Linked DNA regions of Rattus norvegicus. The protein of the gene in region 6 interacts with the protein of the main gene of each other region in a biochemical or structural test. Links are inferred from orthologs where the notes say so. Each region holds a gene or a part of one and is shown on either strand. Other genes may lie near its edges. The genes, in order: Tada3, Trim24, Nr0b2, Psmc5, Ncoa6, Rara and Nrip1.

What was found.
Region 1: the proteins of Rara (region 6) and Tada3 form a complex in vitro, tested with the Homo sapiens proteins (2 studies listed by BioGRID). The link is inferred for Rattus norvegicus from reciprocal best matches to the Homo sapiens genes RARA and TADA3.
Region 2: the proteins of Rara (region 6) and Trim24 form a complex in vitro, tested with the Homo sapiens proteins (3 studies listed by BioGRID). The link is inferred for Rattus norvegicus from reciprocal best matches to the Homo sapiens genes RARA and TRIM24.
Region 3: the proteins of Rara (region 6) and Nr0b2 form a complex in vitro, tested with the Homo sapiens proteins (2 studies listed by BioGRID). The link is inferred for Rattus norvegicus from reciprocal best matches to the Homo sapiens genes RARA and NR0B2.
Region 4: the proteins of Rara (region 6) and Psmc5 form a complex in vitro, tested with the Homo sapiens proteins (2 studies listed by BioGRID). The link is inferred for Rattus norvegicus from reciprocal best matches to the Homo sapiens genes RARA and PSMC5.
Region 5: the proteins of Rara (region 6) and Ncoa6 form a complex in vitro, tested with the Homo sapiens proteins (3 studies listed by BioGRID). The link is inferred for Rattus norvegicus from reciprocal best matches to the Homo sapiens genes RARA and NCOA6.
Region 7: the proteins of Rara (region 6) and Nrip1 form a complex in vitro, tested with the Homo sapiens proteins (4 studies listed by BioGRID). The link is inferred for Rattus norvegicus from reciprocal best matches to the Homo sapiens genes RARA and NRIP1.

Annotation. Positions count from the first base shown.
Region 1 is NC_086022.1:148,074,521-148,078,477, reverse strand, and holds the start of Tada3 (transcriptional adapter 3), read left to right. Parts: upstream 1-1,157; 5' UTR 1,158-1,445; intron 1,446-1,796; exon of another isoform or gene 1,797-1,844; coding exon of another isoform or gene 1,845-1,850; intron 1,851-2,865; coding exon of another isoform or gene 2,866-2,883; coding exon 2,884-3,090; intron 3,091-3,716; coding exon 3,717-3,957. Other genes in the region: Arpc4 (actin-related protein 2/3 complex subunit 4), read right to left, coding at 547-549. UniProt on the Homo sapiens protein: Functions as a component of the PCAF complex. The PCAF complex is capable of efficiently acetylating histones in a nucleosomal context. The PCAF complex could be considered as the human version of the yeast SAGA complex.
Region 2 is NC_086022.1:67,638,835-67,642,334, forward strand, and holds part of Trim24 (transcription intermediary factor 1-alpha), read left to right. Parts: intron 1-1,316; coding exon 1,317-1,490; intron 1,491-3,500. UniProt on the Homo sapiens protein: Transcriptional coactivator that interacts with numerous nuclear receptors and coactivators and modulates the transcription of target genes.
Region 3 is NC_086023.1:151,061,666-151,065,959, forward strand, and holds the start of Nr0b2 (nuclear receptor subfamily 0 group B member 2), read left to right. Parts: upstream 1-1,494; 5' UTR 1,495-1,528; coding exon 1,529-2,069; intron 2,070-4,274; coding exon 4,275-4,294. UniProt on the Homo sapiens protein: Transcriptional regulator that acts as a negative regulator of receptor-dependent signaling pathways. Specifically inhibits transactivation of the nuclear receptor with which it interacts.
Region 4 is NC_086028.1:91,686,189-91,690,352, reverse strand, and holds the start of Psmc5 (26S proteasome regulatory subunit 8), read right to left. Parts: upstream 2,801-4,164; 5' UTR 2,786-2,800; coding exon 2,762-2,785; intron 2,161-2,761; coding exon 2,089-2,160; intron 337-2,088; exon of another isoform or gene 211-336; intron 1-210. Other genes in the region: pre-rRNA 2'-O-ribose RNA methyltransferase FTSJ3, read left to right, coding at 3,321-3,387, 3,556-3,661, 4,124-4,164.
Region 5 is NC_086021.1:164,385,276-164,388,775, reverse strand, and holds part of Ncoa6 (nuclear receptor coactivator 6), read left to right. Parts: intron 1-792; coding exon 793-948; intron 949-3,500. UniProt on the Homo sapiens protein: Nuclear receptor coactivator that directly binds nuclear receptors and stimulates the transcriptional activities in a hormone-dependent fashion. Coactivates expression in an agonist- and AF2-dependent manner.
Region 6 is NC_086028.1:84,410,133-84,414,266, reverse strand, and holds the start of Rara (retinoic acid receptor alpha), read right to left. Parts: upstream 2,801-4,134; 5' UTR 2,567-2,800; coding exon 2,398-2,566; intron 1-2,397. UniProt on the Homo sapiens protein: Receptor for retinoic acid. Retinoic acid receptors bind as heterodimers to their target response elements in response to their ligands, all-trans or 9-cis retinoic acid, and regulate gene expression in various biological processes.
Region 7 is NC_086029.1:28,463,613-28,467,674, forward strand, and holds the start of Nrip1 (nuclear receptor-interacting protein 1), read right to left. Parts: upstream 2,801-4,062; 5' UTR 2,623-2,800; intron 1-2,622. UniProt on the Homo sapiens protein: Modulates transcriptional activation by steroid receptors such as NR3C1, NR3C2 and ESR1. Also modulates transcriptional repression by nuclear hormone receptors.

The DNA.
Region 1 (3,957 bases), on a different chromosome or scaffold from region 6:
CGTTAAGGTCAACACGGTACTGAACACCCAGGAAGGAGTCTGCATGGAGGCGACACAGAACCTTCACTGGGGGCTGAAAGGCAAGGCTTCCAGGAAGGCCGAGAAGGTAATAAGGTGAAGTGGACACTTGCTTTGAGGTACCATGAGACAGGCGGGGACAGGGGGCTGTACTTAGCGAATCTCTACCGTGGAGGGAGAGGAGGTCCCGTTGCATTCCTCAGCGGTCCTACTACCTCAACTGCAAGCCACCACCACAGGCCTAGCAGTCCCGTCTCCTGCCTCCTCCAAACTTCGGAGAGAGGCCATTCTTGCCCGGGATTCCCAACCTGGAAGCCTCTGGGCCTGCTCTGCCCTGGGAGAGCCTCCCAGCTCGCCCCTTCCTCCTCGCCTCGGTCCTCGCCCCACCCTTTGCCTCTCCATCCTCACTGTGCCCCCTCATCCCAGGGCAACCTCCAGTCGCAAGCCCTAGCAGCAAGCAGCATCTTCCCCAGACCCACAGCCTCTCCAGGCAAAACACAGGGAGGCCCCCAGCCCCTGGTCTCTCACCATCGCGGGCGCTGTCTGGGCCGGAAAGCGGAAGTGCGGAAGTGCCCGGCCCCGGGACGCCTGCCCTTTCCAGAGAGGCGCAGCCGCAGTCCCCGACAGCACTTCCGGGCTGGACCATCTCGGGCAGGACCAGGGAAGAAGAGCCGAAGGATGTTCAGATCTCTGAGGCGATTTCACGCTGGGACCGCTGGGACTTGTAGAAGATCTGCAGTGACATAACAGCAGTCGAGGCCCCTTGGGTCCCCACACGTATCCCTCCAGCGCCTTTAGCGCTTGGCGCTTTGGTTGTAGCCTCCCCCCGTGTGACAATAGTATGGCCCGACCTCAGGTTGGGCACCAAATTAGGACAGGCCGAACCGGAGAAGCCCGACGTTTCTTCCGGTGGTGCTCCCCTATCCTCTCCGGGCTCCTCCCATTAGCAACCCTAGGGTTCGGCCGGGTAGCCAGTCCCTTGAGATTTGAGCTCAGAGCCCCGCCCCAGCCCCGGGCTGCTTCCTAGCCCCGGTCTCCTCAGGCCTAGCATTCCACTTCCCGGAGATTCGTAGGTGGCCTTAGACCCCCCCCAGCCCCCACCCCTACAGGTCACTGTGGGCTGGCCGTGTCCCCGCCCTCGCGTCAACTGCAGGGGGCCCGCCCATAGCCAGTTCCGGAGCAGTTGCTCCGATCGCCCTGGACTCCCCGCCCCCTCCTGCGGCCCGGGGCCTGTAGGAGGCCGCAGAGAGGAGGTAGGAGAGGCGGGGGTTGTGTTAGGGGCTCCCTAGAGGACAAGGACCCTGGAGGCGGGATCTTGGGGCGACACACAGGTGGAGCCAGCCATTAAGCAGTCCCACTTCTGTGCCAGGCACTGAGCTGGGCACTTGACGAGCATCACTTCTTAATCCTCAGAACATTCCAGGGAGGTAGGTACTCTCGATGCCCCCATTTTACAGATTCCTACTTTTTAATGGGGAAATAGACTGAGGCATCATCTTTTGTCCTGGAAAAAAAAACAAACCCAAAAACCAAAACGGAGATTCAGGTTAAATAACATGTTTAGAAAGGCACATAAGAAAATGGCTGGAACTTAGTTCTGTCTGCCTAACCAGCCTGTGTTCCAAACTAGTTAGAGACATAGAGAAGGTGCAAAGGTGGAATGGAGTGAGGCAAGGAGAGGCCGGGAGAACCCCGTTAGATAGAAATGGCCCAGTATAGGAAACAGAGGACATAGGAAGGCAGAGCACACTAGTATCCCCTCTCCCTTAATGCTGCAGATTCGAGACTACAGTGGTTCAAATTGCAACTAGGAGGCCGGCCTAATCATGCAGGTTTGTACACCTAGAGACTTGGGAGGCTGAAGCAGGTGGATCATAAGTTCAAGACCTGCCTGTACAACTTATTGAGAGCCTGTCTCAATAAGAATTCATGAAAGGGGTGCTGGATGTAACTCAGTTTGGAGAATTTGTACCTAGCATGAACAAGCACTGTATAAATCAGGTGTGGTACATGCCTAGAATTCCATCTCTTGGGAGTTGGAAATAAATCCTTGGCTACACAGCTAGTTTGAGACCAACCTGGGTGCATACCTTTATCCCAGCACTCTGGCACAAGAGGCAGGTGCTTTCTGGGTGGGGGGTGGGGGAAGCTTTATGAATTTGAGACCATCCTGATCTATATAGCCAATGAGTACCAGTCCACTCAAGGCTACATGGTGAGATTTTTGTCTTCCCAAAATATAGGAGTGGGGTGGGGTCTGGAGATGTGTGAGACCCTGGCTTCATTGCTACCAAAAAAGGAAAAGACAGTAAATTGTAGCTAGGAGTCTAGGCATGGGTACATGTTTCTTATATTTTTGGTTGTGAGCCTAGCCTTTAACGGCTGAGCCATCTCTCCAGCCCGGGTACATGTTTCTTTGGAGTCTTTTTCCTTTCTTGGTCAAAAGAAAGAAAGAGACCAGGCGGTGGTGGCACACACCTTTAATCCCAGTACTCTGGAGGTAGAAGCCAGGTGGATCTCTGAGTTCAAGGCCAACCTGGTCTACAGAGTGTGTTCCAGGCCAGCCAGAGTTGTTACACAGAGAAACTCTGTCTATAAATAAATAAATAAATAAATAAATAAATAAATAAATAAATAGCATGGGAAAAGACCCCTGCTTAAGGTTATATGCATAATTCAGGCATAATCCAGTGAAGTAAGTCTGGCTTGGTGTACTGTCAGGCTCTGAACAGGAGCTTTGCCACCGTCCTTATCTATGAGGGTGCTAAAGCCTGGTGTCTTTGTTGAATCTCTCCCCATGCTACTTTGTCTCCTACCCAATGGCCTCCTCCTCCTCTAATTTTCCAGGGTCCCATCTCCTGGGCCATGAGTGAACTGAAGGACTGCCCATTGCAGTTTCATGACTTCAAATCTGTGGACCACATGAAGGTCTGTCCCCGGTACACAGCAGTGCTGGCCCGCTCCGAGGACGATGGCATTGGCATCGAGGAGCTGGACACCCTGCAGCTGGAGCTTGAGACCCTGCTGTCCTCTGCAAGCAGGCGACTGCGTGTACTGGAAGCTGAAACGCAGGTGATTCTCCAACAGGGGCATCACTAGAGACACAGCATGTCGAGTTGAGGATGGATCACCAGGTTCACATCTACTGAAGCTGAGGGATGGATGGGAAGAGAGACCCACATGGGGATCATGACAGAATAGTTAGCTCTCAGTGCAGATACCAGCAGCCAAGGATGCCATCCAACTGTACTTCAGAAGATGGACACTGCCCACTTGTGGTCCTTGACGTTCCCTGGGAGGTTTCTGAGATGCACCTTGATACAGTTAGTTGCATAGACAGGGCTCCCGGGTAGGTTGGGGTTTGAAATGAAGGTTAGCTTGTTCACCATCACCAAAATACCAGCCATCGAATATTCCCCAGGACCACCATGCCCTGGGGAATAACCTTATTTTTATTTTTATTTTGTTAATCTTCCTGCCAAACCATCTGTGACTAGCTTGGGTGGTGGAGGTGAATCAGAATGTAGACCTACAATTAAATTCATGTGAGAAAGAACAATCCCAGGGAAGAGCAGGGGATTTTGAAATATGAGTAGTTTGCCTACTAACCTCAAATTCTAGATCTCAGCTACCCACAGCAGGGAAAGAAGTGCCCAGTGTCTTCTCTCCTTCTCAGGCACTGTTGTTGTGTGTTCCAGATCCTTACTGACTGGCAGGATAAGAAAGGTGACAGGCGAATTCTGAAGCTTGCTCGAGACCATGAGCTTGGTGCCCCTCCAAAACATGGGAAGCCCAAGAAGCAGAAACTGGAAGGGAAGACAGGACATGGGCCAGGCCCTGGCCCAGGACGACCCAAATCCAAAAATGTTCAACCCAAGATCCAAGAATATGAATTTACTGATGACCCAATCGATGTGCCTCGGATCCCCAAGAACGATG
Region 2 (3,500 bases), on a different chromosome or scaffold from region 6:
GCACTGCCTTCTAAAAGTGTATGTCTTTGTGTTTCTCGTCATGTGGGATATGCAAATCATACTTCCCATGTGTCCTTGTGGACAGGTAGATTGGAAGTTTGTGCTTGTGAAAAGTCTCTTGCATGATATTTCATAATTCTTCCTCTGAAGATCAACCATGTCACCGGCACTCTAAAGTGCTAGGTGGCCGCCTGGTATTTAATGTGGAGTTTGTCAGAACATTCTCCTAGATCAACCCAACTGTAGCAGTTTAGAAAACAGGGAGAACATAGCTCACGTTGTGCTCACCTGTAAGCTTAAAGGTAGACGGGGTTAGCATTTGGTCTGGTGCCCTGGCGTCAAGTGTCAGTTTGTCGAGTGTCAATTTGTTTTGGTTTTTTGGTGTTTTGGGTTTTTTGCCTGTTTGTTTTTGGTTGAATCGTTATGTTGAGCAAAAGGATGAGACTAAGGTGACAGGAAATATCTGTTCTCCCTTAAAAATCAACTGTGTGTTTTCCTTTGAATAAATTTAGAAAACCTCTCTGTAATTCCTCACTATTTTCTGTTTGTGTTTTCATGGTGTGAAGCCCTCATGTGCCAAGTTTTATAGGAAAATCAGAAAGGTGTTAGGGCTTCTGGCTAGTTCCCCTATGTGGTTACTCAGTAATGCTGTCTCTGCACTTCACCTTGGAATTTCTGTTGGGTCCAGAAACACTGTACAGATGTGTTTTTCAATGGTTCTGAAATATATTCTTAACTGAGGGGAAAGGAAGCAATTTAGAGTATGAGAAAAAAAAAATCCAAAAGTAGGAAGAATTGGGGGAGGGAGGGCAGAGCTACGCCTATGGCTGTCTTGGTGTGGCCACATGAACCTTACAGCGCTAAAGATTCAGTTGTTTCTGTGAACGAGGACAGAAGTGCCTCCTTCTTCAGGAAGTCCTGATCTTAAACACAGTTATGGTGTCTTGAACAACGAAGCAACAAGTTCCCAACCATGAACACAGTTGAGTGGTCAAAAACACTGGCGTGTGAGCTTAGGGTTTGCTAAACTCAGTTTGAAGCCAGCATTGACAGAGGAGATGTGGCAGATTTGCCTCTCCACCCAGCCTTCCCCATCCACCAGTGTCAGGCGTGCTTCCTCCTGCTCACACCTCCTCCTCCTCCTTCCCTTTCCTTCCCTTCCCAACCACTCTTTCCCCTTGCCCTTTTCTAAGTGACTACTAGTGCCAACAGTGAGCATTCTGTGGTGAGATGTTACCCTCTGGGATTTTATGCAGTAAAGATCCGGTTTGGAGGCCATTGTTAGTTACTGCAGTGCTTTTGTTTCTTTCTTCTAGCATCCACCACCACGCTTAATAAACTTTCAGAACCACAGCCCTAAGCCCAATGGACCAGTGCTTCCTCCTTATCCTCAGCAGCTGAGGTACCCACCCAGCCAGAATATACCACGGCAGGCAATAAAGCCCAACCCCCTGCAGATGGCTTTTTTGGCTCAACAGGCCATAAAACAGGTGTGTGTTACCTTTCTCTCCAGTGCATCTCTGTACTGCCAGGTCATAGGAGCTTACGTAGACAATAGGTGATGAAGGGCACGTGCTTGCTTTTCTGTTGAGTAGAAAATACAGACTATATGTAGAAGCAGATCTATGGCGACAGGTAAGAAAACATCTCAGTGCTTTGTAATCAAGGAAGCCTTGCCTACTGTGTGTGTGTGTGTGTGTGTGTGTGTGTGTGTGTAATCAAGAATTGATTTACCATCTCTGGGTTTCATTTAGTAATATTTTAAAATTCATACTCGTTTCTGCTTCACCATTATAAAGAAAAGTTTAAATTGATGCTTGGCATCAAATTCTATTTATTTTCCTAATTTATGGCCTTGCCAACTACATTTTTTTTAGATCTCACTCCAGCTATAAAAATATGAGTGCCTTGCAGAGTTGTGTTGACAGTTGTCCTAATGCATATAAAATCACCTGGCACCTTTCAAGTATCACCCCTCCATTTATTAGATTTTAATGGCTAGATCATTGCCTTCTGCCAGTGACCAGTACCAAGGAACCAAGGTTCAACTCCAGAGATAGGACCAGGGACTCAAGGCTGTGCTGCACACGCCCCTCTCTGCTGGCTCGAGGCTCTGGAACTTTTCTTTGAGCAGCTCAGCCCACAGACTTGAAGCAAGGACAGGAAAACACGCTCGTGCCCTCAGCACTGTCATCGCATGTGCTCACAAGGCAGAAGGTCTCAAGACCAAATCAGGGTTGTTTGGTCAGCCGCATCTCTACGGGAATAGGAAACATCTTGCCTGTGGCATTCCTTGGGCAGATGGAAGCATTCCTGCTAGGGAGACAAACAAGAGTTCTGTGGAAACAGCAGGATAGCGTACGCATGCTTCAGTAAATACTATGAAGTTTCTTTTAATATTTTCTAGACAAAAATGTAAACATGAATGAATAAGTGAACAATAAACCAGGAGAAACATGACTTGTGAACTTTCTGTGTAGAGTTGATTCATAGGTGTCCTGTACTTTTTAAAGTGCCACGGTCAAACACGTAGGACGGGCCAGTGCTTTGGCACAGCTGCTCTCTGAGGTTTGAGGAGAGCTGGTGGAGTCCGAGCTTCCATGGTGTGGGTTCAGGGATCAGGTTGGCAGGCTTGCAGCAAGTGCTTTATGTACCGAACATCCCACTGGCCCCAGAAATTAGTTTTAATGCATAAATTCACCAAATTATCCCATGCTCATGTAATACTTTTTAGCTAGTAAGAAACTGTCATGTCACCTAATTTTTGTGAGATATGATCTCATCTCTGTGTTTTATCTTGTGCATAGGTAACAACCCCAGAAAGGTACTCATCAACAGTGATTCGTTACTCTCGGAAGGGGAGGAAGAAAAATACGTAGGGATAAGATAAAAAAGATTGGGTGTGAAGGTACTAAAGATGACATTCACACCCAACTTCATGTTTCTGTGTGTATACTTTTTACAGTTACATATATATGTGGGATTTTTTTCAGAACACCGTGTTTCAGAATGTCACTCTACAGTGTCATCCATATATAAATGAGTCTGGGCAGCTCTCTGCTGAATGACTTTGGGATAGCTTTCAGTTCTCCCACCCCTAGATTTATTCTGAGTTTTCATGTTTTTCAAGTACACCAAATATTGAAATAATTTCATAGGGACAGTTTGTTTCCCTTGCCTTAGTACATATTAACCATCTGCCTTTTTAGCTAACTATCCATCAGTGCTGTATTTTGTGTTTGCTTTGAAGCAAATGTGAATGAGAAAGCTGTCCTCAATAAGGCTTAATTACTTGGTCATATATGAAAAGTAAGGAAGGGAAGTATAAGCATCTTACAGCCCTAATAATATGTGACTATTTTTAGGCATTTCAGGTAGGAATAAAAGAAAATGTATGTTTTCAGTTCTCTAGCTTTACTTCAAAGAAGTTGCTTTTAGTATGCTTATATTTCTTGTACAATTCATATGTGTGTATATATATTTTGCAAGGATATGAGGTT
Region 3 (4,294 bases), on a different chromosome or scaffold from region 6:
TATGGTCTCACCTAAGATACCAAGGCTCAGCTGGGGGTTGGGGGGAGGCATGGGCCTTTAACCTAAGTACTAGGGAGGCAGAGGCAGGTGGATTTCTGTAAATTTGAGACCAACCTGATCTACAGAGCAATTTCTTAGGACAGCCAGAGCTACACAGAGAAACCCTGTCTAGAAAAAACATAAAATGGGGGGGGGGGCTCCCTGAACACTGGAGACAAGCTGATAGTCACACTGTGAGTGGGACTCGTGGAGCCTAAACCAGATGCCAGGGCAGAGGATGCCAGATCTCTCTTTATCCACAGCACCAGGTTGCCTAAGAATGTGGCAACAGGGAGCCTGCTAGGCAAGGCTAGCCAAGGTCAGGAACCCGACACAACTGAGGCCCTCCCATGTCCCTTGTCCCTCACCTCTGACCGCTTGAGACAAATGTCCAAGACAGAGGAGTCATGTGCTAGCAGAGATGTGTTTCTACCCATACCACAGGTAGGCCATACCTGCAGACCAAGTATGTGGTGGGGGGTGCCTCTTAGCCACCAGTTCTGGGAAATTCACACTTCGGCTGCACAATTGATCCAGGGGAACAAACAAAGATGACTTTGAGGTCAGATGCACCTGTGCTCTGTCCCCGTCGGAGTGACTTTGAGTAGGTCACTTCACCTCCAGAGTGTCACAGAGTAAGAATGAAGTCTTCAGTGTTACAGTGGACCGAGACCCACACCAAGTGTGTGGGGGTGGGGGGGTTGGGGGGGTCCTTACTAAATGTTAGCCATGTAGGCCCTCGGTTTTGCAAGGGCAGATCCAGCCTCTGTGAAGCTATGGGAATGCAGGGTGGGAGCAGGGGCTCTGAAAGGTCTTCTTCCCAAAGGGGTTCATGTCCTGGAGTCCCAGGAGGGCAGCCTCCTAGACTGTACAGTGAACAAAGTCCCCCAGGGACCTGGCTCCCTTCCCTACAGCCTGTTCCTTACCGACAACAGGAGCAGAGCCCCAAGGTTAGGCAAACAAAGCAGCGATAAGCCACTTCCAGGCTGGGTATTGTATTCAAGGCTTTAGCCAGCTCCCTGGCTGGCTCCTTGGCTCTGTGAGAACCCTGGTCTTGTGTACATGAAAACGGCCACCAATAGAAACAACAGTCACGGCCAGCCCCTGGCTGGTTGAACGCCTGAGACCTTGGTGCCCTGGTACAGCCTGGGTTAATAACCCTGTTTATACACTTGAGTCATCCGATAAAGGGCATCCAGGCAGTGGGCAGGTGGCCCTGTGCCCTGCAATGGCCACTTCATTGACTAAAGCGATAGCAAGGCCACGTGGAGCTTCCAGTGCCCCTCCCCCACCACTTCTCCACCAGTCCTGCCAGGGTCAGCGTGTATGCATTGTGTGTGTGTGTATGGTTTTTTTTTTTTTTTTCAATGAACATGACTTCTGGAGTCAAGGTTGTTTGGCCAGTCCCCCTCCCGCCCATCAAGGATATAAATAGCACTCCGTAGAGAGGGCCACAGAGCCAGGAAGAAACAGGAACAAGACACAGACCATGAGCTCCAGCCAATCAGGGGTCTGCCCATGCCAGGGCTCTGCAAGCCACCCCACCATTCTCTACACACTTCTAAGCCCCGGTCCCAGGACCAGGCCCATGGCACCCGCATCTCGCAGCCACTGCCTGTGCCAGCAACACCGGCCTGTGCGCCTGTGTGCTCCACACCGCACCTGCAGGGAGGCCTTGGATGTCCTAGGCAAGACTGTAGCCTTCCTCAGGAACCTGCCGTCCTTCTGCCTCCTGCCCCATGAGGATCAGCGACGGCTGCTAGAGGGCTGCTGGGGCCCTCTCTTCCTGCTTGGGTTGGCCCAGGATACTGTGACCTTTGAGGTGGCCGAGGCTCCGGTCCCCAGCATACTTAAAAAGATCTTGCTAGAGGAACCCAACAGTGGTGCCCAGGGTGCCCAGCCACCAGACCCACCACAACCCTCACTGGCTGCCGTGCAGTGGCTGCAGCACTGCCTGGAGTCTTTCTGGAGCCTTGAGCTGGGTCCCAAGGAGTACGCATACCTGAAAGGCACTATCCTCTTCAACCCAGGTGAGCTTCCAGACACTCCTGGATGGTGGCCAAGGTGGGAGGGGACAGGGCTCATCCAGGGAAAGTGCTTTCTTGGGACTTGGCATCCATTGTACCTTTGGGTCCTTTTTAGCCTCAAAAATAGATACCTCGGGTTGGGGATTTAGCTCAGTGGTAGAGCGCTTGCCTATCAGGCGCAAGGCCCTGGGTTCGGTCCCCAGCTCCGAAAAATAGAAAAGAAAAAAAAAAAAAATAGATACCTCATAGGAGAGGCACAGAGAGGTTAAGCCACTACCTGAAGGTCACACAGCTGGGACTGCAGACCAAGCTAATGCAGAGACTACTTTTTGCCATGGTTCCTGAAATTTGGCCTGCATCTTAGGGAGTGTGGGAGGGTAGATGGGGTGGGGACATGGCTGCTTGGCAGATATATCTTCAAAGCCAGGCTGCATAGTGAGGTTCTGAAGGTCCACCGTGGGTTCAGGGAGGCCACTCAGAGAAGAAGAGAGAGAGAGTATGGGAGTGGGGTGAAGTCAAGCCAGGAGAAGAGTGATGGGGTGACAGGGAGAACTGGGACACAGTCTCACCATGTCACTCTGGCTGGTCTAGAACTCACTGCGTAGACCAAGATGGCCTAGCTTGGGAGAATAATCCTCGTGGCTTTGAGGAAGACAAGAGACGGACCTTGAAATTAAAGTACGATGTCACGTCATAGGAGTAGGCGTCCCAACTAGTCCCATGACATCTACCATATGTTAGGACTCAGTCTAAGGGCTTTACAAATATTGGTTTGCTTAAACCTCATAACAGGTGTGGGTGACCAGAACTGTCATTATCCCCACTTGACAGATGAAGAAGTTGAAGCACAAAGATTAAAGTACTCATTTAAGGAAGGTCACTCAGAAAGATTAAATTACTTACTCAAGGTCACTCAGCCAGTAAGTGGCTGCACTGAGATTCAAACCCTGGTTTTTTGGTGGGTTTGTTTTTGTTTTTGTTTTCTGTTTGTTAGGTTTTTGGGTTTTTTTTGTTTTTGTTTTGGGGTGGTTTGGTTTTTGGTTTTAAGATTTATTTAGGGACTGGAGAGATGGCTCAGCAGTTAAGAGCACTGACTGCTCTTCCAGAGCTCCTGAGTTCAAATCCCAGCAACCACATGGTGGCTCACAACCATCTGTAATGGGATCTGATGCCCTCTTCTTGTGTCTGAGAAAAGCTACAGTGTAATCGTATACATAAAATAAATAAATCTTAAAAAAAAGATTTATTTAGCCAGGTGGTGGTAGCATTTAATTCCAGCATTGGAAGGCACTGGGATCTCTGAGTTCAAGCCCAGTCAGAGAACTAGTTCCAGGACAGCCAGGGCTACACAGAGATGCCCTGTCTTTAAAAAAAATCAAATGAAAAGTAAAAATAAAAAGATTTATTTATACATTACTTTATGAGCTCCTACATGCGTGTGCATATGTACACATCACCTGTCAAGGAGATGTCACAAAGATGTCAGAAGAGGGCGTCAGATCCTCTGAAACTAGAGTTCTAGGGACTTGTAAAGCACAACATGGATGCTAGGAACTGAACTCAGGACCTCTGGAAGAGCAGTCAGTGCTGTTAACCACTGAGCCATCTCTCCAGCCCGTGTGTCTTCGTCATTACATCCACATTATCTGCTTGCTCTCCATAGTGGATGGATGGATAAGTGGTAAATAGTGAAGGAGACAGTGGGTGGGGCCTCCGAGGTGGCAGAGGGGACCAAGGCATGGACTCATCAGTGAAGAGATTGCCTCACAGACCTGGATTTTATTCCCAGCGCCCGCCACAAAACCGTCCTCTAACTTCCTGGCTTTACGAGCTGAGGATGTACTTCCCTAGTATGTTTTTTATATACATTGTCACTGTCTTCAGACACACCAGAAGAGGGCATCAGATCTCATTACAGATGGTCGTGAGCCACCATGTGGTTGCTGGGATTTGAACTCAGGACCTTTGGAAGAACAGTCGGTGCTCTTAACCACTGAGCTATCTCTCCAGCCCACTTCCCTAGTATGTTAAAGGGGCTATCAACATGCAGCCCAATGGTGGAATGTCTGCCTAGTGCACACTAGCATTCGCAAGGCCCTGAGTTGCACCCCAGCATACGAGGGAAGGGAACTGCTAACATTCTCCCACCCTGGGCAAACCTCCACAGACTTAGATGCTCACCGGCCCTCTTTACCCTCTCTGCCACAGATGTGCCAGGCCTCCATGCC
Region 4 (4,164 bases), about 7.3 Mb from region 6:
ACACAAGCTTCCAAGGAGGAACCAACTGATAGTTCTACTCAGCTGTGATGCTTATGACCCACAATTACCATGGTGGCACCCAACAGTTCTCTAACTGGACTGCAGCCTGCTTAAAGGGAGGAAAACAAAGCCCGGTACTAGACACATAGTCAACTATGCCGGGCTCGTTACGTTATGGATTGTGAAGAGCCTACAATCACTTTACTAAACCTTTTTTTCCCCATTCACAATACAGACCAGGCACGGTGGCCTAGGCTGAGGAGTACACAGGGTAGGTTTACTCTGTTTCCATACAGTCAGTGTAGGAACACAGCCTGTGGTAAGCACAAGGAGGCCCACTTTACTAAGTCTGCATAATCTGTAACTGCAGTCTATTACAGATAAATGCGGTTCTAGTCCCTTCTCTTGAAACTTCTCTTGGCAACAAATGGAGACAATTACAGACAACCACAACTGACCAAAACGTAGAAGTCAAGAGACTGCATTGCTGGTCCCAACTGACATCTACAGTGCAACTCCTAAACCCAGGGCTCAGAGGTCATTTTGGAAGAGGGGGCAGAAAGATCCTAAGAGCCAGATAAACAAGGTTTGCTGGGAGACTGTTTCTTAGAAATGTCAGAGATTGGGCTGAAGAGATGGCTCAGCGGTTAAGAGCACCGACTGCTCTTCCAGAGGTCCCGAGTTCAATTCCCAGCACCCACATGGTGGCTCACAACCATCTGTAATGGGATCTGGTGCCCTCTGCTGGTGTGTCTGAAGACAGCTACAGTGTACTCACATATATAAAATAAGTAAATCTTAAAAAAAAAAAAAAGAGTCAGAAATGCTACACTCATGAAGTCTCATCGACATGGATTCTTAAATTAGACAAGTCCTGAACACTGGTGACACCAATGGACACGCTAACATGGAAGGGAGAAGTTCACTCATGGGGCCTCAACCCCAGACAAAGAATTATGGCTCCTGAGGAAAGCTGAGAGGAAGACAAGGAAGAAGCGCCCCGTTTGGTTATGCAGTACCCAGTGAGCACATACATGCAGGTAACATTATACAGACTGAACAGGTCATGTCTGTGTATTTAGGAACACCCATAGAAGGGGTGGTTATGCAGTACCCAGTGAGCACATACATGCAGGTAACATTATACAGACTGAACAGGTCGTGTCTGTGTATTTAGGAACACCCATAGAAGGGGTGGTGGTGATAAGGATTTCAAAACATAAAATTAGAAAAAACAGTTAGTTTTAAAAGGTAGGCACGACGACACAGGCTTGTAATTTCTACCCTAAGGAGGCTGAGAGCTGGAGAATCCCAGCCCATCTGGGCTACACAATGAGAATCTATTAAATAAACAAAAGTAAGACAAAGGCAAGACAATAAAAGACAGACAACAACATCCATCCTTCCGCCTTATTTCAGACCCGAGAAAGGTGAAGCACTAAAGACCAAAGCAGAAGCATTAAAGCATGGTTAAAAGTGGTTGAGAGTCCCAGCTGCTCCGGGAGAACCTGGGCTGGATTCCCAGCACCCACACGGCAGCTCACAACCTTCCGTGACTCCGTTTCCAGGGCTCCTACACCATCTTCTGGCACAGACATAGATGCAAGCAAAACACCCAAACACAACATAAAATGAAAAGCCTGAAAAAGCGAGCGAGCGAGCAAACAGAAATCCTAACTAAATACCATTCCCATCCAAGAGATTACCAATATACGTTACACTGCTTGTTACTTCCTAACCACAGAGGAGGGGCTGGAGAGGCGGCTCACCAGTTAACAGGGTTTACTGCTTTTGCAGAGGGCCTGGGTTTAGTTGTCACTCTAAGTGCCTGGGAAAGATAACTATCTGTAACTCAAGTTTCAGGGGATCCACTGCCCTCTTCTGCCCTGCGCAGGCACCTGCATACATATGATGCATATAAGCTTACGAAAGCACACATATACACATATGCATAATAAATTAACAACTGAAGAGCTACAAGAACGACACTGGAAAAGAACACTTTGCTGCACTCCCAGTGGAAAAAGGACGTTGAGAAATCTGCACCTACCAGCTAGCTCTCAAGCTCCCTCTGGTGTCTGGACTTACCTGGAGTTCTTCAATCTTGGACAGATAATATTGACGGAGTCCACTGCCTGCCTTCCCCTCTTCCAGTTCCATCTGAAGACAAGTGTAATTGTTAAACAGTTACGTAAACTACTAAGGGATAAAGCCAAAGTATTTTCAGGGCACTTTACCATATAGCTTAAGAAACAAGGCCAGGAAAGTATCATTCCCTTTTCCTCAGAAACTGGTTATCTCCATAGGTGAGGTCTGTGTGTTTGAACTGCAAAGGCTTAGTTATTGGTTCTAATCCTTCACTTTTGAATCCACTAAAAGGATGCAATTACCGCCTACCTTCGAAGACTTTTAGGAGGCTCAAGGGGCCATATACTTACAGAGCGCTTTGCTCTGTGGCAAGAGCTATACAAACCCAAGGTGTAACTACTACAGACAAAGGCAGAACAGAAGGACCAAGTCCAGGTCCCACCCAGGCCATTCCGGCTTGCCTAGCTCTTCATTCAGTTTTTACCCAGCCCTGTCCTGCTTACCGCGGGTGGCGCTGACACAGCAGATCCAGTTCCAGGCAGGGTCAAGTCTGACGTGGTCCACCCACCCCTGATCCACTCGACCCTTTTGCTAGTGGCCACCCCTCAGTTCAGATTTTGTGCACTCCACACTCGGCTTGGATGCCGCCCTGACGCCGCGGCAGAATCCTTACCTGCTCTGGCCCATCAAGCGCCATCTTCCCTCCTTCGGCAGGGACCGCCGGCATCCAAGTCACCCTATTGCGCAGGCGCGGAGCCGAAAGCGTGCGACCTGGGTCACGACCGAGAACAGTTCCGGGTCAATGGGCGGGGTGTGTGGTGAGACAATAACAGTGGCTTTATTACAGGCTCTACTGGCGGTTAGTAGGTTTGTAAAGAGATATATAACTTATGGCGGATGCTTCCTAGAGTCTAGGGAGTAGTTATTGTACTCTACTTCCTAGCCTCTACTTTTAACTTGCAAGACACGCTGACAAAATTTTTGGCCACACTCAAAATGGCGTAAATCAAGACGCTAGGAACACAGGGAGCGCGAGCGGAAGCGGAAGTACGATCACTACCCACATGTGCTACTTCCCTAAGTGTTGAAAACCTGCGGAGTTAAGGGCTATCTAACGTCTCGGTAAGTGATTGCTTCGCCACCCGAGGAACCGAAGCAAAAATCCAGCGCTCTGAAAGATATTCTCAACTTTTTCTTTCTCCCCAGAGTGAGTGATACTACCCCATCCCGCCATGGGCAAGAAAGGCAAAGTAGGCAAGAGCCGGCGGGACAAGTTCTATCACTTGGCCAAGGAGACCGGTGAGTGGGTTTGCGCTGCGTGAATAACATATCAGCCTTTACGCTTTTTCTAATATTGTGTTCCTTTTCCTTAGGGGGAGGGTGATGGGGTTGTGAGGCTGTGGAAGTCCTCTTAGAAAAGGCATCCGTAGACGTTATTGTTTTATACATCCACTCCCTACGGTCTAGGTTATCGTTCGCGTTCTGCCTTCAAACTGATCCAGCTCAATCGCCGCTTTCAGTTCCTTCAGAAAGCCCGGGCCTTGCTGGACCTGTGTGCTGCACCTGGAGGATGGTAATATTTGGTTGGCAGGGACTGCTTGTGATGATACGTCCCTTGCACTGGCTGGCTTTGAGTTGCTTTGGGGGAGGATGGAAATCCGATTATACAATTCAGATTAAATATTCCATAGCATGTGTCTCTCCTAAATTTTGGAAGTCAGTGTCATTCTTTTTTCCCCTCTCGTGGGACTGAACCTAAGGACTTACTCATGCTAGGCAGTCGCTCCACCACCGAGTTATATCTCCAATCTGCTTTCTTTTCATTGAGACAGGGACTCTCAGAAATTGCCCAGGCTGGCCTTGAACGTTTGGCCTTGATAGCTGGTAATGCAGCCCTGTGTTGCTACGCCCAGCAGCTTGCTTCTTGAATGTGTGCATAGACAATTTGGCCAAGACACTTAACAAGTGCCCCTTAAGAGGCTGGGAAATCACATTGCCAAGGGATGAAAGGTATTTAAACCTGTCTTTTCCACAGGCTGCAGGTGGCTGCCAAGTTTATGCCTGTATCCAGTCTTA
Region 5 (3,500 bases), on a different chromosome or scaffold from region 6:
AGTTGTACCATTTGTATATTCTCATCATTAGTGCACAGGGTCCCCAATTTCCTCATATCATTGTCAACATTTGCTATATTCTATTTTTATAATAATCACCCTAGTGATATAGTATATAGCCATTTGATACTGGTTTTTGTTTTTGCTTTTTGTTTTTTTTTTTTTTAAATGCACAAAATCATTAAGAAGTCCAGTGTTTCAGGCCAGGCAGCAGTGATGCACACCTTTAATCCCAGCACTTAGGAGGCTGAATCAGGTTGATCTCTGTGAGTTCGAGGCCAGCCTCATCTATAGAGTGAATTCCAGGAAAGCCAGAGTTACACAGAGAAACACCATCTCAGGAAAAAAAAGTTTAATGTCTCTACTTTTTTTCTTATGTGCCTGTCCCTTTGTTGCCACATCCAAGAAATCACTGACAAGTCCAAGGCTTGTCAGATATTTTCTTCTAAGTGTTTTAGGTCTATGTTTAAGTGTTTGTTCCATTTTTAATTAATTTTTGTACATGGTATTAGGATATTGCATGTGGACACACACTGTGCCCAGAGTAAGTTAGCTTTTGTGCATTCTTAAGAATATGTCTAGAGGTTTGTATAGGTTTTAGAATTGCAGATGCCAAATGTTTTTCTGTCCTAGAGGAAGCTGACTTGTCAGAATGTATGTTTCCTTCCTGTGTTTGCTTACTTCAGTGGACTCTGCTCTTATTTAAGATATGGATTTTTGTTTTATCTTTGGTTGCTCATTCTCAAATGCTTTCACAACTGATCATGTTATTCTCTTTCCTTCATGACCAAGAATCCAGCAAGCTGAAGGTACAGAAAGTGGAGCCCTGGAACAGCGTGCGAGTCACATTCAACATCCCCCGGGAAGCAGCAGAGCGGTTACGGATCCTGGCTCAGAGCAACAACCAGCAGCTTCGGGATCTGGGGATTCTCTCCGTTCAGATTGAAGGTCCTTTGCTTTGCCATGTGCCCATCTGAATCAAAGTACAATAACAGTAGAACCCTGCAGAGTTCCCGATGCTGCCCTGTCTGTCTCTCTGCGCTCACGTTTGAGACTCTCAAGCACCTGTACATCCTGTGTTTCATGTTTCAGTACCTTAGAATGAAAACGGGTTGAGGGTGTTGCCGGAGCCTGAACGCTCAGGCCTTTGGCTCTTCTGCCTTCAGTCTTAGACTTTGATCTTACTTGTACCCTGCACTGAACTGATTTGTCTTTGAAGAATGTTTAATTTTAATTGCTTTCCTTTAGTGAATAATTTTAATTTTTCCTTTGTTCATTTAGTGGATTAGGGAGTCCTAAACAGTTCTTTTGTAACTGTTTATCACTGGACTGACCCTCTGAATGTAAGAATATGCTTATTCTAATATTTATAACATCCAGATTAGAGCCTTTCTGTTGCTTACTGCTTGTTTACAGAATATAGGCCAAATTCTCTACTGTGCTCTCAGGGCTTGCGTAGTCTGAAGTCTCCCTTCGTCATATAGCCTTATGCTAGTCATTTCCCTCCCAGCTCGCTGTTCTCCATCTCTTCCATTTTCCCTCGGTCCTTTGATCACACAGTCCTCCCTTTTGTAGAGCATTTGCAGTCACTGCCTGGGGATGGTACACTGCTCTTATCTTTCCAGTCTCCAGGTTGATCTTTTCAGCCTTAAGTCTCTGGCTGAGTCTGTTGCTGTGCTCTAACAAAAACCCCTTTCTCTCAGATCATTTATCTCACCCTTTACTGAGGTCCATCATTTGGTTCTGTTCATTTCCCCATGTACTGTAAGCCCTAATAGGAAAGGAGTCATGTCCGGGTTTGTTCTGCTGTGTGTCTGAATTGCCTGAGCCACATAGTCTCTTTAGTAAGCTTGTCACAGGAAAGCCAGGACATATAATAGCATTACTTTGCTTTAGCACCTGGTATATAATTATAAATAAAATATGCCCCTTGCTGTTATAAACTCAAGTGAGCCCATGATATTATTTAATAAGAGGAACAACTCTATGATTGATATGAATCAAATTTATAGTACATCAACTATGGGCAAATACAAGAATTTCTTTTTAAAAATAATTTTTATATATTTTATTTGTGTGTGGTGGGGTGGGAGGTCAGAAGATAACCCATGGGAGCCAATTACCTTCGTCCACCATGTGGGTCCTGGGGATCAATTCCAGTCATTAGGCTTGGAAGCAAATGCCTTTACTCTCTGAGCTATCTCGCTGGCCCTACCTTGTGCTTTGAGACAGTCTTTCACTCATATCTAGGACCTGCCAATTAGGCCAGGTTGCTAGTCATTAGACTTCAGTGGTCCTCCTTCCTCTGCCTTATGTGGGGTACAGGTATGCTCCACTGCACCGTGCCAGGCTCTTTAAAATGGGTACTAGGAGTCAAATTCAGTTCCTGAGCAATCACTTTACCAACTGAGCTGTCTCCCTAGCCTCCTGGAATAGAGAACTTCTAAACAAGGAGTGATATTACTTGATGCCATTGCAAAACTCTTGCGCTTGGGAAGCAGGGTAAAGTAGCTTATACTTATAATGCCAGCACTACAGAGGCTGAAGTAGGAGGACCGCTACAAAGTTAAAGCCAGCCTAGACTACAGAGTAAGTCCTGTTGTTTAAATAAGTAAATAAAGACACCTTCTACTCAAAAAAGGGGGAAAAAACCTTCTGCTCAAAATTTCTTAACAAGCTTAATAAATTGCTAGTTCTTTTTTTTTTTTTTTCTTTTTTTTTTTCTTTTTTTCGGAGCTGGGGACCGAACCCAGGGCCTTGTGCTTGCTAGGCAAGCGCTCTACCACTGAGCTAAATCCCCAACCCCAAATTGCTAGTTCTTTACCAATGGTAAAATCTCCAAAACCCATACTTTATTGGACTTTCACGCTTGGTTCCTAAAAAGCGAGTCAGAGTATTTGACAGGCTCTGATGATCCTCCTTTATTGGTAGGACGTTGTTCCCTATGACCAGCCAGCCCATCCCCTGGGTAAACTTTACACAGGAAGCTCCATGACAGGACAGAGCAAGGTACCTACCTCCTTTATAGCTTCCTGCTTTACCTTCAAACTGGAAACCAAGATGCTAAGATATGAACGGAGTTGGGGCATATAATCCTTCCAACTCCCAAGTGATGGGACAGCTATCTTAGCTCTCCCCAAGGTGTTAAGTGTCTTCTGTGGAAGGTACTATAGCAGTCAAAATTGTGGACTAAGGGCAAGAAGCACTTATTTTGGCAGCTGTTTTTCTTCTTCTTCTTTTTTTTATTCCTTTCTTTTTTGTTTTTTTGTTTTTTTTTGTTTTGTTTTGTTCTGTTTTTTGGGATAGGGTTTCTCTGTGCCACAGTCTCAGCTGTCCTGGAATTTGCTCTATAGGTCAGAATGGCCTTGAACTCACAGAGATCCACCAGCTCTGCCTCCCGAGTGCAGGGATTAAAGGTCTGAGCTATCTTGCCTGGCTCAGCAACTGTTTTCCATTAGGCCAAGTAAGATTTAAATTTTCATAACTAGAGAGACAGCTCA
Region 6 (4,134 bases):
CCTCCCTATTGCCCTTCCTCCTCGTGGGGCGATGGTGAGGGTGACTCTGGGTGCAGTATAGCCCAGCAAAGCTCAGCGCAAGGTCCAAACCTAGCGGTCGGCGGGTGATAAGCATCTCTCCCATTCCCCCACCCCACTACAGGCATCCACGTGCTTCACATTCTTGGATGTCTGGGAGCAGGCAGAGGCGTGAGCTGTGGAGACTGGTGGGGGACAGATGGGGGCCACATCCTGTGCACCCCTTGTCCTCTAGTGCACTGAAATGGGGGCTGTGGGAGGAAAGCAAAGTCTCCAGGGCTCTGCAATACCCAGCAGGTCTCCACCTACAACCAACCTGCTATCTTCCCTCCGTTGGTGGAGACCAGGGAGTTGTATTCTTCAAGACAACTAGAGGTGACTCAAGGCACCAGATAGTCTCCACACAGCAAAAGACTCTTCTCCAAGGAGGAAATACAAGGCTAGTAGAGGTCCAGTAGCCACCCTGACTTGAGGCCCTTAGTGTGTCCCAGGGCAAGCAACTCCACAAGGGTGAAGGCTGGTGAACAGACTTCTAGCTAGGTTATCCCAGACAGGTCTCTACTTCCCCATGTCCAAGCGGTTGAAGGGAGGGAGCAGGGAGGCTTCTGCGTGGGCTGTCTCCCAAGTTCTCTGCAAGCCTCCTCCCTTCAAGTTCTGTGCCAAGAGCTCAGCTGTCCTAGAGGGCTTGGGCTCAGAGATAGGAGCTGGACCTCAGGGAGCTTAAATCCTAGCTTCACCCAGTGCAGAGAAGGAAGCCTGGAGGCTCACCCTAGGGGTGGCTCCTTCCTACAGCGCTAGGATAATAAGAAGGGTCAAGGAGCCACTTCTCACCTCTGCTTTTTCCCCCCAAAGCCAATGATCACCCACCCCTCCTAGTCTGAAACCTCACAGCTGATTCTGCCTTGGAAGGCAAAGGTCAGGGGGCAGGACAATAGGTCAGGGCGCAGGACAATAGGAAAGGCCTGATAGAGGTGTCTCTGGAAGGGCAGTGGTCAGCTGTCATTCACCCCAGGTCTCTCAATGATGAAGGAAGGTTTGTGTGCGGGCAGATTCTACTCCAGCCTTCTTCAATAGGCTACGCCAGTGGTTCTCAACCCTCCTAACACTGTGACCCTTTAAATATGGTTCCTCATGCCGTGGTGGCCCCCCCATCATAAAATTAGTTTCACAGATACTTTGTAATTGTAACTTTGCTATCGTTATGATTCATAATGTGAGCATCTTTTGTGCAAAATATCTGGTGTGACCCCTGTGGAAAGGGTTGACACCCCCCACCACACACACACCAGGGGTCGACACTCAGGTTGAGAACTGCTGTACCGGACCATAAGAGACCCAGTCTTCTGTTGCTCCCTGGCACGCAGAAGGGTGGCAGCAGGTATGGGAAGGTGGGGGCCCTCCTGGGAAGAAATCACTCCCATAACAGAGTGGGAGACGAAATCTGAGCCACCTAACAATAATACCCTAGAACCAGCTCTCTGACATGGAAATCACACTAATACACACTGCCTCGCGGCTGGGCATAAACATGCCCAGGTGTGCACCCTGGGTGTTAACAGAAGCCTCCCTCACAGCACAGCCGGCTAGAACCAGGCTGGAGGGCTCGGCGGCCAGGACAACAGGGTTCACATCGGTTCTCCCTCTTTAACAGCACAAGGTCTGGACTTATTTCCCTAGACAGGGTAACAAAAAGACCCAGGAGCAGCAGAGATACACCCTGATTGCCAGAGGACCCCCAGGCCTTAAAAAACAAATACGCCCTAGAGAACAGCAATTTTGAGTTTTTACACCAGCTTCTCCCATGTTCCCAGCATCAAAGTCTCCAGGATGTTAGGCAGGTGTCTGGGGCCAGACCTTTCCCCAAGACGGACTAGGTGCCTCTGAAAGTATAAGGGGGTGGACGGGCAGGCAACTGTCCTGTGAAGTCCCGTTCTGCCACACCCCATTACCAACCCAAAGACAGAGACCAGTCCGTGTCACCCCCACAGTCGGCGGGAGCTGGAGGTAGTAGCTGTCACACAGGGGAAAGCTCATCCTAGATTTTGACAGGGGTGGGATTCGGGGAGGTGGCCCCTCCCCTTCGGAACAGACAAGCCCACAGTCAGGATCTTTACCCCACCCTCCAGCAGGCTGTGGATCCTAACCAAGAAGATGTAAATGGGGCGCCAGAGGCTGAGATTTCACGTCTCCTGGAGAAGGAACGCTCAAAGTTACTGAGCCCTAACATGGCAGTGCGCCAGGGTCACTGGGTGGAGGGCAACTGTCCAGCTAGGACATCCGAGTTACAGCGAGACAGACAGAGAAAGTGAGGTGTAGAGAGGTTCCTACCGCCACCCCCACCCCAGCTTCTAAGGTAGCAAAGCGGGGGCCGGTACGTACAGTGGTTTGAGCCATTCCAAAGCGGAGTCCGGAGTGGGGTGGAGTAGGGACCCGGGGCAGGGAGCCCCTTCTCCTGGAGCAAACAGGCCCGGTTCTGGTTATAAAAGTCCACCACTAGGAAGGGGTTAGGGGCGGGGGCAAGCCCCCCGACTTCTACACTTTCGTACATCTTGCCCCGCGAAGGCCGAAGATCCAGGAGGGGGAAGTCCTGCACCGGGGCTCTCGTCACTCAGCCGGCGGCGCCATCCGTGCAAGTCGGCTAGAGGGGCAAAGGGACAAGTCCCTTCGCCCCGATGGGCGGCCCCTCAGCGGGGCGCCCAGCCCAGAATTGCCCGCGCCTAAGTCCGCAGGTCACTCCGCCGGTCCCAGGTGAAAAGCGGGAAGTTGTGCAGGTTGGAGGAAGAGGTCTCTCGGTGCTCGCTCGCAGGGAACGCTCGGTGGCTCGAGAACTCGAGGCTTCGGTGTCCCAGGCAGAGTCCAGCGGCTCCCCAAGTTCGCTGGCCCGGGGCGGGATCAGGGCGGAGACGGGGGTCACCGAGCACTTCCTTTTGCCGGCCGGGGCTCCCGGGCTTCTCCGTGGCTTAGATTCCGGGTGCGGGTGGGGGAACCCCCGTACGGCCCCGCCTCCGCCAGGCCGGCGGCGGGCCGCTTGCTTGGTCTCCGGTGTGCGCGCCACCACCCCCCAAGCCCGCGCGCCCCCTCTCTGGGATTCCAGCCCCTAGCCTCCGCCCCGCCCCGGCCAGGCGCCGCCCCTGGCTTAACCCTTTCCTTGCGGGTCCCACTGCAGAGGGAGAGATGCAGGGATGCAAGGGCCTAAAGGCTGCACGTGGACCACGAGTTGTGGCAGCCTCGGAGAGGGAGCAGAGGCGGGAAAAGCGCTGTGCATAGAACCAGGTCGGGTATGGATAGCAGGGTGCACCGGGAGGCAGGACCGACGAGGAGAGAGCATCCTCCCCATCCCAGTTCTGGCACCCGGCCTCCCTAGTGCTTTTGGTCAATCCCCTGCTGGGCGAAGCAGCGGCGGGGAGGTGGGGTGGTCCTGGGGTCCTCCCCGTAAACACGCCCCCCACCCCCAGCCCCAGCTTCATTTGCCTAATGCAATGCGACTGAACTCTTGCTGAACTCGCCTGACGGCGCCTCACCTCCGGGTGACCCACCCACTGCTGCCCGTGACATCACCAGCTCGCCAACCCGCCCTCCGGGCTCGCCCACTGGCCCCCTTCTCGGTCCTGTCCAGCCCCAAAGTCCGAACAGGCGGGCAGTAAGCATAGGGCCCAGAGGCAGGTGGCCCAGCGTTAGAACCACAAACGCAGCGTGCTGGGTGTCCCGGGTGTGACATTGTGCAGCCTGGGTGCTGTGTCGGAATGAGACCTCTAGCTTGTGTCACTGTCTGTGACATCATGTGAGACTCCGGCTGCCGGCTCACTCGCCCGAAAACGACGCGGCAGAACTGAGCTGTTAGCACAAACACTAGCGGGGAGCTCTCCTCCCACACTCTGCGTGCTTCCGGCAAGCAAAGCTCCGCCCAGGGTGTCTCCCAGCCCGGGAACGAGGATGGGCCAGCCCAGGACAGATAAAAGGAGACTTCCAGCTGAACCACTTCCTCCCTAGGACAACTGTTTCAGTGGAAGAAAGGCCTGGGTTAGGTAGGTCCCTGGAAAGAAGAGATACCCAGAAAAGATCAGGGTGTCCTATTATATGTCCTCTTAAAAGCCTGATCTACATGTTAACCTTCTA
Region 7 (4,062 bases), on a different chromosome or scaffold from region 6:
AGGCCATCTTTCAGGCTAGACGGTTAGAGGAGGAGCGTTACTTCCTCCTCGGACAATGTGATAAGCAGAAGGGTAGAGGCTGCCGCCCTCAGGCCTCCTGTTTAACAGACTGCTTTGCCACTCACAAACCTCCAGTAGGACAGGTTATCACTGTTTCACTGACTGTATTCCCAAACACCTTATCCCAGCTTCCAAGACGGTCTACCGTCTCTCTAACCTTCTCAGTGTTTAAAATGTTGGTAATGGCAACATCCCTCTCTCTATACTTTTGTCATCGCTTTTGTCGCCCTCCCCCCCCCAAAAAAAAACCTCAAAAGGCACCGAGAACACTTATTTTGTCACATTTCTTGAATCTCTCGTATCACAGGAAATCTTTTTGCACTCAGGGCCACCTTGGAGCACAAGCTAAAAGAAGCTGTCTTTAAATTTTTTTTCTTTTGAATTAGTATCTTTCGGAGACTGGCCCACTTGAGTTGATATGTCATAATTTTCGGTTCTGAAAGTGTCGTGGATAATTTAAATTGGCACTTGCTATGCATTACTTAAATAAGTGTTCTCCTGGATGGCCTCTGAAAAGCCTGAATTCCTTAATCTTGTTTTGACTATACAGTAACCACGAGGGACACGTCAATGTAAGCAAACTCCAAGAGCAATAAACTAACAAACAGACTCTAGGTGGTGGTATAGGTTATTTTTTTAATCACAACGTTTTGCTCTTAAAACTGGAGGAGTCAGAGGAGCCCTGGCCTCATCCACAAACATTTCTCCATTGCTAACCCACAATTATTTTCAGGTATCTCAATTACAAAAATCCAAGTTCTGCAAAGTTTGGAAACTCAGATTTCTAAGTCTTCTCGTAGGCATGAAAGCTGGTTTTCAACTACCTGTATATAAGCAGCAACCGAAGCCCTCCTTAGAGTTTTGAAGTATACTTTTTAAGGATATTTTCTTCTCGCTCCTTGTACTTTAAGTGTGGAGTCTTCCCAGTACAGTATAGAACAGGCTGGGGTGAGGCTCCAGTTTGCAGGTATTGCCTGCGGCATGACTGACTCTCCTTTGTCTCTACTAAGTCCTACACAGAAAGTTCCTGTTGGATCAATTAAACCCTATGGACAAACTGCTGGGCCAAACCAGGGCAACTCACTTGGAAGGGGAAGATTTCAACATTTTCCCAGGCTGCAGCCACTCTTAGGGGCCATGCATGTGAAGCACCCACCGTTTGCTTAAAAAGTCGACTCCGTCTCTTAGACAAAGGTGGCAACCTGATGATTAAACACTGGATAATTGCATCTGGAAGATGCCGCCCACTTGCTAAACCCATGATTCACTAATAAGCGGGTTCAATGTAATTCATAACTCTAAAGAATGAATTACCGAAGTCCCTGCTTTACAAAACCCAAGAGATAGACTACACATCGTTTAAGCATACACACAGACAGACAGACACACAGACACTCCAATCTTGTTTTACTTTTAGACTGTCTCTCTTTCTCTAAAAACACTGTTTTCGCTCAGTGTCACAATCAGTTACAAGAGCAGACAAACTCCAGCCTGGTGCCATCAAAAAAAAAAGAGTTAAAAGTTCTTGCACCTAACAATGTCCGGACTTCCCTCTAACTAAAATGATCCATTAATTTAAAAAAGTAAAGTATTTTAACGTAAAATTACCTAACGTTTCATACTTCGTTTGCGACCGCCAGAATCCAATTAAATTTCTGACATGATGGAAGGTAGAAACTCGTGGAATGCCTCAGAGATCAACATGTGTCAGACTCACTGCCTGTCCGCCTTTTAAACACAGTGGATTCCTTTGTTCCTTCCGTCTGAATATCAACTCCTGATTAAAATTTGGAAACTACTTTGGGAAGGATGGGAGGGTCTAGGGGAATGTTTCCGCGGAAGAGGGTTTCTTCTAGCAACAATAGTAGTAAGGAGGACAGTGGCACCAGAGAGAAGAGCAGTCTCTCAGGACTTCACCAGGCTCACCCGAGTGAACCCCTCTCGGATGCTGGGGGAACTGGGCTGAGGCCTCGGGTGCAAGGGGCCTCGCCCTCCTCGGCAGGCGGGGAGCTCGTGCCCAGCAGGCCGGGCCTGGGGCTCAGCGCTGTCCCTTCTCCGAGTCACTTTTCCCGGCCGGGAATCGGCGAGCACCGCGCAAGGGAGAAACCGGCGATAGGCGGGGAGCTGCGCGGGCGCCACCGCGAGCACCGCTGGGCGGCAGGACCGAGCGGGGCTGCAGCCAGCGCCCGGGGCTCGGGGCCAACGGGGGCAGCCGGGCGGGCGGGCGAGCTCGACCCGGGCCCCGCGATCCGGCCACCCGCGTGGGTCCCGGCGCATTACACCCAGGGCGGCTGCGCCCCTCGCGCCAAGGCTGGCACGGACGAGCCCGCGGCTGGGAACTCCACAACTTGGCGGCTGCGCCGGCCGGGCCCGCGAGTTCCCGGGGAGAGCCGGAGAGGGGCGCGGCGGCGCGCTGTCCCCGGGATCCGTGTCCCTGGAGCCCCCCGCGGGCCTCCCCCGGCCTCCGCCGCCTCCACGGGCCGCGCACCCAGGCCGTGCCCGGGCGGCTCGGCGTCCGCTCAGCGAGCTCCGCACGGAGCCCGGGCCGCGATCGCCACTCACCGAGGCCGCCGCGGCTCCGGGCCGCCGATCCGCGTCGCTCCCTCCTTCCCAGGTTAGCCGTGCCCTGCGGCCGCGCGAGGCCACGGGCGCTGCGCACCGGCGGGCTGGGGCCGGCTCGTCCTCCGCCTGCGCCGCGGTCGCCGTCGCCTCCCGAGTTCGGGGCTCTGCTGCAATGTCTGCGAGGCTGACTTTGAGCGCCTCGCTCGCCGCCCGCCCGCCGCAGCCGCGCTCCTCCCTCCGCCGCCGACTTCGCGGCGGCCGGGTCCCTCCCCTCGCTGCTCCACGCCATTCAGCTCTTCAGCCAAGTTTCTTAACCCTTTTCTGCCCCTCCCTCCCATTGTCACCCGGGCGGAGCGCGCACCCGGCGGCTTGCCGGAGCCCGGGAGCCCACCCGGCGTCTGCAGGCCTTCTCGCCGGTGCTCCGGGTGGGGGTCCGGGTCTGAGCGGCCTTGAAGGCAGAGGGAGGACGCGGTTGAACCGGAGAAGGGGGGTGCTTTGCTCCCCGAGCCGGCGCCCTGGCTTCCCAGCCGCGTCCAGCCAGCCGCCTGGACAGATTCCCCGCTAGGGGCCAGGCGATAGCCCATGTCACCCTTGCGGGGGCAAACGCTGGGGGCACCAAAGGGGAGTCGGGGCGCCTTAACCCTACCCCAGGTTCCCCACCTAAGGGCTGGCACCTTAAATGTCTCCCTTTCTCCCGTTTCAACCCACAAATACGCGTTCTCTTGGAGCCCTTTACCCACCCTCAATTTTCCACCTCCTTGAAATCTGTGTCCCGCTTAAATTCCGGAAGCCACGGCGCTATAACTCTAGGTCATTTTGACCCCATCCTCAGCACCTAGTAGGACCCAGTAATAAATATGGCATGATTGCAAGCGGAAAACTGGGAAGGAGACCTGAGGAGTGCACAGCTCAGCTCCCTAGACGGACGCAGGACCCAGGAACCTGGTTTATCTTCTGCTGCTTTGTCACTGCGAAGTCTCCAGTAGGGTCTGCCCGCCAATCTGCACCACCCCCAGGAAGGATCTGACCCAACAGGACTAGAAGATGGGCTGGCACTTCTTTAAGCAGCTCTGCTGGGTTCAGAGTCTCAATAAATAACAATTACATCACGGAGCCAGGGTGGCAGTGCAGCGAAACCTGGGTTTCCTGCAGCCTGGTCTTGCTGAACCCGCCTCTGAATTTGAGGGGGGCTAACAGATTGGTGAGGCTAGAAAGTGGAGGGAGGAGAGAAAAAGACGAAACCGTGATCTCTTCCTCTCCTTGTGTTTTCTGCTTTAAAATCCTATTCTCTCTACTCCCTTCATATGTTACTTGTGAAGCCTCCTTTTAACGCTCCCCCTACCCCAGATGTCACGTTTGTTTTTGACTCTAGCATCTTGCCATGAAAAGAATCATTTGCAGAAGTTGTTTTCGCTTGACATAAAAAAAAACAAAAACAAA